Drosophila melanogaster: one gene and its partners. The protein of the gene in region 1 interacts with the protein of each later gene in a pairwise test. Each region holds a gene or a part of one and is shown on either strand. Other genes may lie near its edges.

Region 1 (4,950 bases):
AGCTCACCGCTCTGTCTTGATTTCCTGATACCATAATATCGCTAATACAGCTTGTCTGCTTCGCTCCGTTCCCCTCCCTTCCGCCTCATTCCGATTCAATTCGATTCGATTCGTTTCGGTGCGGTTTGGTTTGGTTCGGCGTGGCCGTTTTGTTTCCTTTCAGTAATCATCGCCAGCTCGTGCTGCGTAGACGGCCAGTCCTATCTCTTCAGCGTGGAGAACGTTCTCCACGAGTCCGCCCGCCCACTGCCCTACAACTTGACAAACGCCAACGGAACCACCGAGGTGGAATTGTTTCCCGACACCATCTCAAACAACACGCGGATTATTGTCTACAAGAACAGTGAGTATCTGAAGGATGCAATACTAAATGTGCATGAGGCATCAGACTAAGATTTTTGTGCTAGATAGAAAAAGATACTTTGAGTAAATCGTTCAATCATTTCTATTTCACTTAGGCTGTCAGCCACTCAGCCACTTATTTTTAGAGTCTTATTAATGTTAAAGAATAAATTAAATTGATTTATATCGATAAGATTTGCTACAAAACGTCACTGATTACTTTGGTAGTAGAATTGACTTGAGTACCATACAAAGTGAAAATAAACGAGATCGATTGAACAGGCCATTTCAACTGCCATAAACATTTGTAACCCTTGTAACGCTCGCCCACCGGTAATATCTTAATTTCAGTGGACCCTTGAAACCGGCAATCAACAACGATTCCCGTCTAATTACTATATACCCGCCACTAGGGTTAGCCCCTATCAATGGGGCTCATTTAAGCCATTAGCGTAGTTCGATGACGCGCAAGTATTGCAGTCGAGCAGTTTCGTCATAAAGTTTATAGCACAGACCCACAATTCGTGACTAGAAGCACAACAGCACCAACTGATAACTTGCTGCTGGGATGAAATTCTAGCAATTCTAGTTATTTCCATATAGAGTCTGGACCTTATATTTCAATTAGACTGGGGAGATTTGTCTATGCTTTGGCTGCGATATAAGCCCTATAGTAGTCACGATCAAAACTAATTAATACCTAACACTTTCAGCTGTCGTCGAGTCGCCCAACGATCTGTCCCAGACGGCAATGGATGTGATCACGATTGTGTGGTATGTGGCCACTTTCCTGGCCCTGGCCGCCTTCTTCATGCTGATGGCCTGTTCGGATCGCAGATGCCGCGACATGAGGCGTCGTCCCGCCGGAGGTCAATCCACCGAGGGTCTGAGGGCACCACCCACGCCCTCGCCATCCTACAGCGAATTTGCGCCTCCCAGCTACGATACGGTGATCAAGATGCAGCACGCGGCCAAGACGAGCGTGTTTGTGATACCGTTCAGCAACAAGGCCGGTGAATTGGGTGCACCACCGTCGGGTACGCCGCCCCCAACTTCCAACCCATTGCCAGCCGCAGTCACCTGCGATGTGATCATCGTCAATGAACTGCAGAAGTCCGCTGACTAAGCAACCGATAAGCCGACGGTGGATCCCTGGATCCGGCCTTACTATTCCGACTCTGTGATATTTGCTGTTTATGGCAAAGGGCCAAGTATTAGATGTCGTAAGATCCCCACAAAAAGACTGACAATGAAAGATATCTGTGTGCGCATATGCATTCAAATGCCAGTTCAACTGAAACTAGATGATTAAGTAATTAACTTTAATAAATCATAGCCATATCGTAAATGATTCATCCAACGGGATGTTTGCTAAATGTTTACCAAGAACTCGGCTTTCCAGTTAATCAGGGGCTTATGGGGAATATTCAAAGTTGGGGGCAAGTTATCTGGCAACTTGCTTGGCAAAAGCTTTCGAGCAAACAGATTCCGTAGACCAAAACCATTTAGTTTCGCTCGGGTGAAAGCTTTCTGCGGAAACGAATTCAAAACTGAGTACTGATAAGCGTTCGGGGGAAGCTTTTTCGTTCTGATGTTAACTTACACTTGATGCGAACGGATTGGGATTGACAAGGCCTGAAACTGAACCCCCTTCATTCAGTATCAGGTGATCTGGAGTTGAAGTGCTCGCCGTGCGTTTATCCAAGAGAAAACACTGTTTGTTTGAACACTGCGCTGGCCAAATAATGGGGCAAGTTAAGCAAACATAAATAAGGCACTTCCCCCTCCCATTGCCATTTGGATGCTCAGGGTCAGGCGTTCGGTTCATTCATTGATCGATTCCAGTGAATTTCAATTTCTTTCCAGCCGCCGTTGTTTAGATCGAGCGAAGGTAACATCTGGCCCAAAACAGACCTGTTGTTGTTTCTGGGGCACAGCCAGCACACCGCGTATGCGTAATATTTCGATTCTTCGGCGTTTGTTTACTTTCCACGCACATATTTCACACAAATTGTTTTCGAAAATTACACAAACACCGCCGACAAGAACTGAGCGCTGGCAGAGCAAGATGATAGCTAGATGTTTGTGCCAAACCAGATCGGATTGCAGTAAAATCACGTTACGCCCCGCTCAATGCGGTTCTTGTTCTTTCGCCTGCTCCGCGCCGATGGTCGTTGATTGCCCCGTTGATTGGTCGCCCGAGTTGAGCGCTTGATTGTGGGTCCATTCATTGGGCGATCTCCAGTGCACCGCGAGAAATTTCAAAGCTGTAACTATCTTTAAAAGCTAATGGTAAAAAGCATTCGATAAAAGGGTCAACGGTGCTAGTCATAACAGAAGAGCTCTCTATACTAAATCATCATTATGCATTCTGTTTCATATGCATATCACCGCTGCTGTAAAACGAATAATCTTTACATTACTATTTTTTTTCCAGTGTAGAAACGCGTTTATAGATGTTAAATATTAACCACTGATAAGTACAAGCTAATAACAACAATAATCGTAACAACGCGCTCTGGTTTTCTCCGTGTGCACTCAAGAGCGTTGCTGATTGAAGCGGATGAAGCCGAAGCCGATCGGAGTTGGTCAATTTTCTAAACTCTCTCACGGTCTTCAATTGAACGGCACTTCCTCGACTTCCTCCCGTCGCCCCCGCCCTTTCACACTCTACGTCCCAATCTTCCGCTCGCTCCGTCTCTTTCTCTTTCTCCGCGTCTAGTTGTGCAAAAACGCTCGCTCTTTCTCCCTCTCGCGCTGTTGCTCTCCCGTCTCCGTCGGCAAAGTAATTTTTCGTTGAAAAGCCTCTGTGGCGTAATTAGCTGGGATCAGTTCAACGCAAACCGCGCCATCGAGAGGAAGTGGATTACTGCTGCTGCCAAGCTGCCAGAGTGAAGTGCATTGAAAGCAGAGCGAATCAGAACGAAATTCAAAACGTATCACGCATACGCCCGGTAGTACAGCCGAATATCCCCAAATAGCCGAATATGTCGCCGAGAAGGAGCTTGCTGTGCTGCCTGCTGGTGAGCAGCATCCTAGTGCTGCACCAGGCTCAGGCCAACATCGAGACAAACGATGTGAATGACCCCAGTTACTACAGTAAGTGTGCGATGTGGATCAGGCGGCCATAGCGAACTACCACTTAACCCATTCAAATCGCAGTGCTGCAGGGTGTGCGTGTGTATCCCAATGACCGACAGTGCGTCATGGTCGGAGGACTGTGTGTCGCGGAGTCGGACTGCATCGAACCCACCTCGAACAAGGGATTGTGTCCCACGAGTGCCGGAGAGGGCGTGGAGTGCTGCTACGAACGTGAGTAGATTGCTGGCTCTCTGCTGTGTGTACCATCCTGCTTAAAACCTGCAAAAACCCCAAACAATCCCCAAAATATCCCCAAAAATCCTAAAAAACCCCATCAGTCCGATCAAACCCAACACCTGCTTCGCATCGCTAAAAATCTAACCACAATCAAATTGGCATCGTTACCGAATTACCCGAATATCGCCACTAACCCTTGACAACCCGATCCATTCTGTGTGTCCCATCGCCCTCGAAAACGTCAAACGTCATCCCATTGCCGTTGCAGTGCCGGTCAGACCAGCGCCCTGTGCGGAACACCTGGGACAGTGCATGGACCGATGCCACCAGAGGCTCCTGCGACCCGGTTCGGATTGCAAGAATGGCCAAGTCTGCTGCGTCCTGATTTAGTTATACTTAACCACACCATACACATACCCGTGCAGAGGAACAGCATCGTCAAATGATAACAAAATAGCCTCCAAGTTGGGCAAGTCAGAGTGACAATTCTTGAATACCTAAAGTTTATATTCGAGACTTCTAGAATATTCGAAAAATATTAGACAACACTAACATTAAATTGATTTGACAAAATTGAGTGCTGAGCGGATTGAAACTAATTTGGTTGTGTCATTCCTCTGTACACATACACACACACACACACCGTACATAAACATGTATTTATTTAACTATATGTATATTAATTATATTGTACGAATAATTTTGTATGACATCTTAAGAGCCCCAAATCTACCCACAATGTGAAATATTTGACTGCTTCCAATAAATGCATTGTAAATATTTTCCAAAACAAATCTCTACTCACTCGAACGGTCACGTATCTGAGGATTATGTAAGTATATGCATACGGGTATGATCAGCTGACGGCCCCCAGTTCTGAAACCCTTATCATCTGGCGGAGCTCGGCCGTCACGTGCCCCAAGTACAGTTGGGTGATCGAAGTGCCCCGAATCGGGATTGGGAATGAAAACAATAATAGCCGCATCATCGACAAACTAATTCCAGAGATGATGGGCCAGTGTGAATCACAAGATGAAGATGGCAATTGAAAACAACAGCTTATCGCTCCGCCAACATTCAATGTCAAGTTCAAAACACGAAAATCAGTTCGATCCTTGGACCGCCTTCTATAAATACAGTTTGGAATATTTTCCAAACAGTTCTCAACCGAAATAAACGAAACGACCTTGCCACGCATCGCGAACATATACCATCCACATCCATGTGCCGCGCATGCCTTGCTTTTCTGTACTACCCGATATCTGTTTGTATCTGTATCTTTCGGTTTGC
Region 2 (4,711 bases), on another chromosome or scaffold:
CCAGCTCGATCCCGATCCGTAATGAAGTTGTGCGCCGGCCACTTGAAAGCTAATCAATATGTTGGCTATCTCCGACAATGTGTAGCCAGGTCAACCAATCATAGGCACACACAAATCAGTCAGAGGTCCTAAAATGCACTTTTCTGCTGCATCACGGCGGAGAAAAGAAATATGAAATTAGTCAAAAATATCATCATACAGCAACCAACTCATTATAATGCCACATGATTGTTCCAAAATCGAACACAATATGGCGGCGTCTCGAAATCAAATCGAAACATTTTAATTACCTTTCGATGAGTGTGCAAAAGAAAATACTGTTGTCCGAACAGATTTACAGAAATAGCTTTTTTGTGTGGCTAATTCTGTGATTTATGAATTTCTTTGTGAGTTTATAATCGCGGTAACTACAAGATGAAGCTATAATGAAGCCCGACGTCTTATTTTAATTCAATTTGGAATCATGAGGCCAAATTACAAAATAATAGAAATAAAGAGGCAACAACAAATGCCAAAAGCCAACATTAAAACAACAAAATATAAGCATGCTGGATATTGCGGAATATTGCTGGCCATATTTTCATTCTTCTCCTCCAATTTCCAAGTTAATTACGCCAAGGCTGAGGTCAATCAAGGATAATCCAGGACCAAGCGATATTTGCTGGAAAGTTTATTAACCTGATTGGCGCTCTTTTCACCAATTATGCGAAACTTTGTTTTGTGTTTTCGCATTTCATGTTTGCTTTCCCAACTTCCACTTGTTAATTGATTTTAATGGCTGTGTTTCGCCGCTTCTAATGAGCCCTACATGCTCAGCCATAAATTTCAATGGAACAAGTTCAACAGCCACTGGAATCAAAGTCATTAATTTGCGTTAAGCTCCGTTTCTGGCTTTATAGTTCGACTTCTCATAGATCACGACTATACCGCATAAATTGTATTTTAAAGCCTCCAACTATGGCTATGTTTTTTCAAAAGTGTTCAGGCTATGAGCTGCAAAGCGATTTTAATTTATTTTTGAAAGACAATTGAAAGAGAAATGCTTGAAATGGGCATGATTAATGATGGATTTAAGAAAAATTAATTATATTGAGAATTTGCATAGAGCGGTTGGCTATCAAAGTAATAGTAAGCCATTATTATTAAATAATACAAAATCTGAAGCCGACAACAAGGCTTAAAGTATAAAAAACAAAGGAGTAGCTAAACTAAATTTTTCAGTTCCTTTACAAATTTGACCAAGTTTCCAAACGTAGTTAAATACATGCCAGTCAAAATCCAAAGTCAAGAGAAGTCGCAGGCTTAGGGAAATACTAAGACCAAAAGTCGAAGTCAACCTAAAGCCGTAGAGTAATCCTAGCCGTAAGGACAACATCTTTGCGGGATTTTCTGGGCGCGGAAGAGCTTTGGGCGCAGGTTTTACAGGTGTCATAAAAGATGACCCGCCCGGCCAGTGGCGGGTTAAGCCAGGTAGTGGGCGTTGCAACGACTTTTGCCGTCGGTAACACGCTCACATCGACAACGTCCGGGATTTGCCCAGGCGGGCAAGGGTTATGCCCACGCAAGGTGAATTCTAAGAGATTGCAGACCTAGCATGTGCTATTCTAAATATAAGCGGTTAAAATCTGCATAAGGCTTCGACTTTCTATTAGTATTAAGATCTTTATAAAACAGGAATAATTACACACAGAATTTGACTGCCAAACCAAAACTAAATAAAAGTATTTTCTTAGTTTAATGAATGGTTTAATATGGTTTAAATATAAAGCGGAATGCACCGCCACACTTACCTGTATGCGTCCGCTTGTGGATCTTGAGGTTCTCGCTCCGGGCGAAGACCTTGCCGCAACCCGGGTGCGGGCAGGCGAAAGGTTTCTCGCCGGTGTGGACGCGGATGTGGTTGACCAGCTTGTACTTGGCCTTGAAAGGGCGTCCGTTGCGAGAGCAGCCCACCCAGAAGCAGGCGTGGGTGGTGCACTCGGGTCCGCCCACGTGCTCCACGGTCAGGTGGGTGACGATCTCGTGCATCGAGTGGAATACCTTGTTGCAGGTCTTCCTGCCGCCCGGGGGCACCAGGCCCGGCTGGTCGGGGTCTATCCAGAGGCACTGCATCTCCTGCTTAACGCTGGAGGCGGACGAGGCCGGCTGATGGCGCATGTAGCGCAGGAAGGCCCCTGCTCCGGCCGGGTGCATCGCGGACATGGCGTGGTGGGACGGGTGGTGCACGACCGGGTGGTGCACTGCCGCCGTCGGGAAGTTGCCGTGGTGGTTGTACGGGTGGCCGGCGGCGTAGGCATCCGCCATGCCCATTCGCATCTGATGGTGGTGATGGTGGCTGTGGAAGGGGTGTTGTCCGAACCCGGAGCCCAGCTCCGCGGCCTGAGCGGGAAAGCCGGAGAAGAGCATGGAATCCGCTGCGGCGGAGGCCTGTCCGGCGGATCCTGCCACACCGTACTCGGCCTCCCTCCTGCCCAGCAAAAAGTCCCGGGAGGCATAGCTGTTAAAGTGCCCATATCCGGAGTTCTGATAGGCTGCAGCAGTGGCCGCCGCGGATTCCTGATCCTGTTGCTGTTGCTGCTGCTGTTGTTGCTGTTGTTGCTGCTGCTGTTGGGTCATCTCCAGTTGCTGCTGCTGTTGCTGCTGCGCGTTGCTGTTACTGGCGGTGGTGTTGGGCGACATTCGCAGCCCGTAGCTGGCCAGGTGGTGCTGAGCCGGCTCAATGAAGGCGTTCATCATCATGGTTACAGTGTTATTGCTCGCTTATATGTTTTTAAAATTAATTCAGAAAGAACTGAACTACAAGTTTTCGATTCGCACTTTGCTAGGCCAATGAGCCCATCACGCACTGAGGTCACCTCACTTAGCTGTATATACTGTGCGCTTATTTCGCTCTTAGATATTTCGCATGCGACTTGATACTTATTTACGTAATGCACTCGCGCGCGATGCGTTTCTGGGGCGTTCGAATCGCAGCAAGACTTGACGCTAACCGAATGCCAAGACTTGACGTTTCAAGATGCGCAGCAGGACTGAAATGCTCCTGAAATTCTAACTCGCTGCTGTGTTGCCTCGTGAAAATATCTGCCGACGATCGCATGCGTGCGAATGGGATCGACCTATGCACGACGTAAAATGAATAGAGGGTAACGAAAGCGCGAGTGCGAGCAGGCCAGGCGTATGACCTGCCTGTGGTGAGTTGCGCTTGCCATGGTGTATTCGGCACAAGCCACCACTCTGTCGGATAGGCCTGAGCCATGGGTGCGAGTGCGACAACTCTAAGAAAATGGCCGCCTCCTCGCATGCTCCAGAGTCGGACAGAAGAGCACAGAGGCTGCGCACTCAGTCCAATTGGAACCCACCCGACCATAGCGCCCTCTCGCTCGGCAAACTGGTTTCGCGAAAATTAACACCCACTGCGGTTGGCCATTGGGTGGTGGGCCGACAGCGTGCGGCGTGCGCCTGTGCAGGGGGCCCAAATGCTGATTGGACCGACGGGCAGCCAATTGAAAGCTCGCGGGGATGCATTTTCCAGCCCGCTCCTCATTGTCACGGCGGACGAATAGCCCGCCACTTCGGGTAGCCCAGCTGTCAGCTTATCAAATTAGTTGTTTATTTTATTGATTTTAATGATATTAAGCACATTCCGTGCTCGGACATCGGAGATTTCCAGCCGTTTTGTTTAGGTTGCGCCATAAAGACGTACGAGATTTCATTAGCGCCAAACGCTCTGTTTTTCATTTGCTAATTTATGGAATTTTCAATAAGCAGTAGTCGAATCAATACATAATCTTGTATCAATCGACTTGATTGGATTCTGCTGAGTGTTAAGTGCCCCGGCAAAGTGGCTTTTGGGGCAGACTGTGAAGTGATACTTCGCCTGCATAGGGCAAAAATGTATAAATTTATTTTCATACAAAACATTTGCTTTGTGATAATATGGTATAACACTATGCTGTATGTATATAGTCAGACGCTCTTCTCAAAATATATGATTTTTTCTATTTACAATCCAAAAACTGAGCGATGCAAAAGGAAGGTCGTTAACATCAAAATTGTCTTCGTTTAGTATTCGTGTTTTGAACTAGTCCTCATCTGTAGATAATTTAAGGTTGATATGTAATTGCTGGCAGAGTATTAAAAATTGCTTAAGCTTTTAAAACGATAATAATTAAAATCAAATTGAATTTGGATATATATTGAGTAATCAAATTTTTATTCAAAAACAGTATTTTCTAATCAAATATATTGCCCTGAATTTATCGTTTGAGAAAACAATATTTCCTGGTAAAGTTTAAATGAGAATGAGAGCAAGAAAAGACCATGTGATTCCATGCTAATTACCTTGATTTCCGCAATGAATTAATTGGGGCAAATTGTGACATAAAGCGTCACCGCCAAGCGGTTCGGCTATTAAATTGTCAAAACAACTCAGCGGCAATCAGCAATCAGCGGACGGCAATCGACAGTCCATAGTCGTCCGAATGTCATACCGACCCCAATGCCATTTTGGGAGACGGGCAAGACCATAAAGCAGCGGAAAGTGCACCGAGCTGGCAGGCACCCAGTCCCGCAGAGCTCCAGCGACAAGTGTCACTCGAAATGAAGCCATTGCTCCATATCGATGATGGAGGATGAGGACGAAGCCGCCGGGTTGGAGCAGATGATGGGCTGCAAACGGAGCAGTCGGCTGAAGTGGATTTCTAGCGCACTG
Region 3 (3,664 bases), on another chromosome or scaffold:
TAATTTAGTTTTTTGTATTGTCAATTTCTATCCAATTCAATTTCTAGCCAAACAAATTTTGCACCGCCCTAATTTGCCCATACTTATAAAACATAATTCTGAATTTTATTTATTGATTTATGTTATCATAATGGGTATTGGATAGTCGAGTTTCTTGTATATAACGTTCTCCCTTCCTTCTATTTGTTTTTTTTACTTGGCTTTTGACCCAATGCCTTGGACCTTGTTCTTATTTTTTGTTTGCCCTAGACTCGTTGGCGTCGACTTTTAGGTTGTTGCACTTTGGTACCACAGTTATCAAAATTTCGATTGCTCTATTTTATTGCTGTATTTTATTTTGACCGATACAACTGCAGGATAGCCCATGTGTAAACAATCAGCAAACCATTTGTTATATTCCTGCAGTGAATGAAGATTAATTTCAGTCATAAAAAAAGAAAGGGAAGGCTACCGGAGAGGTGCTAAATAACTCCGCTCTCTGAGATAAATTATGCGCAATTTCTCCTCTGCAAACTTATTCAGCACCTTAAAGCTTAAGTACTCCAAACTAAGCTTTCGCGGCTTAAAGCTAAAAATCTTTATTTTATGATAAAAAGCTCAATTTTATGAGCATGTACTTTTTTACGTTTTTAACATGCCGTTTTTTTTTTTAAGAAGGACTTGGACATCTGTATAAGGCAACATATCCATGTGAATTTACAAGGAGAAAACGATTCAGTCGATCTTGTCGGCTTACAGATACGTGTTACTACTCCGCTAGAGGAAGTGCGTTGGAGTTGGATATATGTAGATAACATATCGATAGATTTACAAAATTAAATTTTCAAATGTGTCGGCGTGGCAGTTTTGGGGGGTTTGGGGGCCTTAGAGTGGGCGTGGTAATATTTCAACAAACTTGCGCTGGTTCTGTCTCTAGAATATGTATGCTTAATATAAACCTTCCAGCTTTTATAATTCCTGAGATGTCGACGTTATACGGCCGGACAGACGGACAGTGCCAGATCGACTGGGCTATTGATACTGATCAAGAATATATAAACTTTATATGGTCGGAAACGCTTCTTTCTACTTGTTACATACATTTTCAACGAATCTAGTATACTCTTTTAGTCTGCAAGTAACGGGTATAAGAAGTATAATTTGAACTGTATAAAGGTTAAACTGTATGTAGGTTAAAGTACTTATGCGGTAAATGAATCTTATTTCTAGTACTTATCTAATCATCCCACATTAAAGCAACTGATTAAATAATACCATTGAAGATTGCACACATTTGTATATAGAGAGTGGGAGAGAGCGATATCTTCCTCCATATGGGTATCCTAAACCTGCCGACTCACGTTTGCCGGCATGACAGGTTGGGTTACCCCATTAGCTGAGAATTTCTTTTTGATGAAGCAATAATCGAAGGAGTGTTTTCTTTTGGATTCGTATTCGTTTGATACCGCTGTGAGCCATAAAATGTAACCCATTAGGTTAGTATGGTTGCGATTATAATGGTGGTGTCATCATCATTTAGCCAAAAACCTGAGATTTATTCCACTGGTCCATTCATAAAAGGCCATCATTTGAAGCTTAGATAATGTTTAATTAATAAATACGCGTTTTTCGTATTTCAATGGTACTTTTATCGTATCAGATATTTTTTTTAATATTTCCATATTTTTCTTCTTCCAGCAGATAAAGGAAAGTAGTAGATTTAGTTGTCCCTTAAGTTGTGATACAACGATAATTGAATAAAATAAGAACTGGCAATTATATATGCATTAAGCTGTTTACGAGCACCAAACGTAGCCTACTCTGGGTTGGTTTATTAAATAGAATGGCTTTCTTACTTTTTTTTAGATCACGTTGCTTTGCTGAAACTGTCAGTATTTGGACTTGGCTATCACCAGCCATATGGCAAAACATCAGAAGTAAAATTGTCTGTGAACACACAAAGCACACGAAAAAATCTCGGAAAAAAAACTGTACAAAATTTAACTTCGCTCTCGACCAGATTTACAAAATTTTTTTTTTGGCCAAACTTAAAATTAGGAATACAAGAGAACGGTGTGTGTACCAAAATCAAATCGTGTTTAGCTAGTTGGTGAGTCTTATTGGAAGCTCGGCATATTCCGAATATTACTGAAATTTTTTCCCCATTTCCGAATTGCATTTGGTTTCACATGACATACGCACACAATTGGAAGTCGTAATTCTATATGTGTGGGACAGTGTTTACTGAGTATTTGGTTGGGGTTAACTTAAGAATTAATATTTTTTTTTTTTAAATGCGTATTTCAGACGTCAGGATATATGCTACTTTGATTCGTTAACTATTTTCAAGTGATCGGAAGCAAACGCAGAGGCATTTCTAATTTGTGCGTTGCGCGACTTTCAGAGATCGTAGACTCGATTAACCATGGGTAAAAAGGGCAAAGGAAAGAAGGGCAAGAAGCCCGCCGCAGTTGTGGCTCCCATCGAAGCGCCACCATGTCCTCCGTGTCCGGAACCACCAAAGCAGATGCAACCACTTGACGCTTGTCCAGAGTCTAGCGGACCCCACGATGTCCTTCGGGCTCAACCGAATCATTACCCGGCTCTTCTTCGTATTCCGGAAACAATGGCGGTGGTGGGCTCTGAGAATGGATGCTACGATAGCATTTGCAAGCTCCTGAGAGCCGGATTCCGGTGTGCCGAGCGGGTTTTCGTGATGGCCCCTTGGGGCAACTACGTGGTTTTCCGGTATCACAACAATAATGACTTTATTTACTTCCTGTTTGATGGATGCACCTGCGATGTTAATAGGTTCCGCTATCTAGACCTCAGCTGCGGAACTGCTGGATTTCTTTTCTTCGATAATATGCACGACGTTATTAGTTATATTATCCAGTCTCGAAAGACGCGTCTATATCTGGAGAATCTAAACAAGATTGCCATTGATCAGATTGTGGAGGAGTATGGCGCTGTAACGTACACCCAAAAGGCAAAATGCATGCGATTCGCTTAAATAGGTCCCATATGATTTCTAACAAAAGAGGGCAACGCATACACAACGAGGATAATACTGGACGACAAGCTTTGCTCTAAACATTTAACATATTTTGGCACAATCTTTATCAATAAATAATAATCTCTTTGAAAGCAACTAAAACAAATTTGCATAGCTCTAATACCAATAGCGGTGATAGCGATATACCAAAGCGTTTATTTTGCATGTCGAAGTTAATCCTTTTGTAGAGTTTTGCTGGGAAAGTTGAGGTTAGCGTACGATCAAAAGAAGTTAAATAACAATAGTCGACATAAATTATTGCAATATTACTGTGGATAAAATACAAATCGTAAATATAATATCAAAAATTAGAGACTTACAGGGTGTGAGAATTTTGTCAATTAGAGTACAGATTCCAAGTCGATTAGCGTTCGATTAATTCCATTCATTTGAGTGGTATGGAAATTATGCATGTGCATCATTTTGCTAATATTCGGCTCAAAAGAATGAAGCGGAGGATTCCAGCTTAACGTGCACAACAAATCCCTCAAATTATTATTGCTTGCTACAAAATGAAAAAAGAAGAAACCCAATAGAAACAAGGTGAACCTTCCAAGTAAGGGGTCAATTTTTGGAGGCCCATGGATTGCGAAAACCGCAAAGCATTTGCAATAAAGTGCCAAACAAGCG

The links. The genes of interacting proteins can lie anywhere in the genome.
Region 2: the proteins of CG10433 (region 1) and opa interact in a two-hybrid assay, tested with the Drosophila melanogaster proteins (one large-scale study listed by BioGRID).
Region 3: the proteins of CG10433 (region 1) and CG12470 interact in a two-hybrid assay, tested with the Drosophila melanogaster proteins (one large-scale study listed by BioGRID).

Annotation. Positions count from the first base shown.
Region 1 is NT_033778.4:21,605,172-21,610,121, reverse strand, and holds CG10433 (uncharacterized protein), read left to right. Parts: upstream 1-1,996; 5' UTR 1,997-2,611; intron 2,612-2,779; 5' UTR 2,780-3,329; coding exon 3,330-3,441; intron 3,442-3,504; coding exon 3,505-3,654; intron 3,655-3,761; coding exon of another isoform or gene 3,762-3,796; exon of another isoform or gene 3,797-3,928; coding exon 3,929-4,050; 3' UTR 4,051-4,446; downstream 4,447-4,950. Other genes in the region: CG15673 (uncharacterized protein), read left to right, coding at 164-343, 1,056-1,468.
Region 2 is NT_033777.3:4,851,134-4,855,844, reverse strand, and holds the start of opa (odd paired), read right to left. Parts: upstream 3,033-4,711; 5' UTR 2,740-3,032; coding exon 1,791-2,739; intron 1-1,790. UniProt on the Drosophila melanogaster protein: Transcription factor essential for parasegmental subdivision of the embryo. It is involved in the activation of wingless (wg) in odd parasegments.
Region 3 is NC_004354.4:305,804-309,467, forward strand, and holds CG12470 (uncharacterized protein), read left to right. Parts: upstream 1-1,880; 5' UTR 1,881-2,089; intron 2,090-2,286; 5' UTR 2,287-2,404; coding exon 2,405-2,992; 3' UTR 2,993-3,132; downstream 3,133-3,664.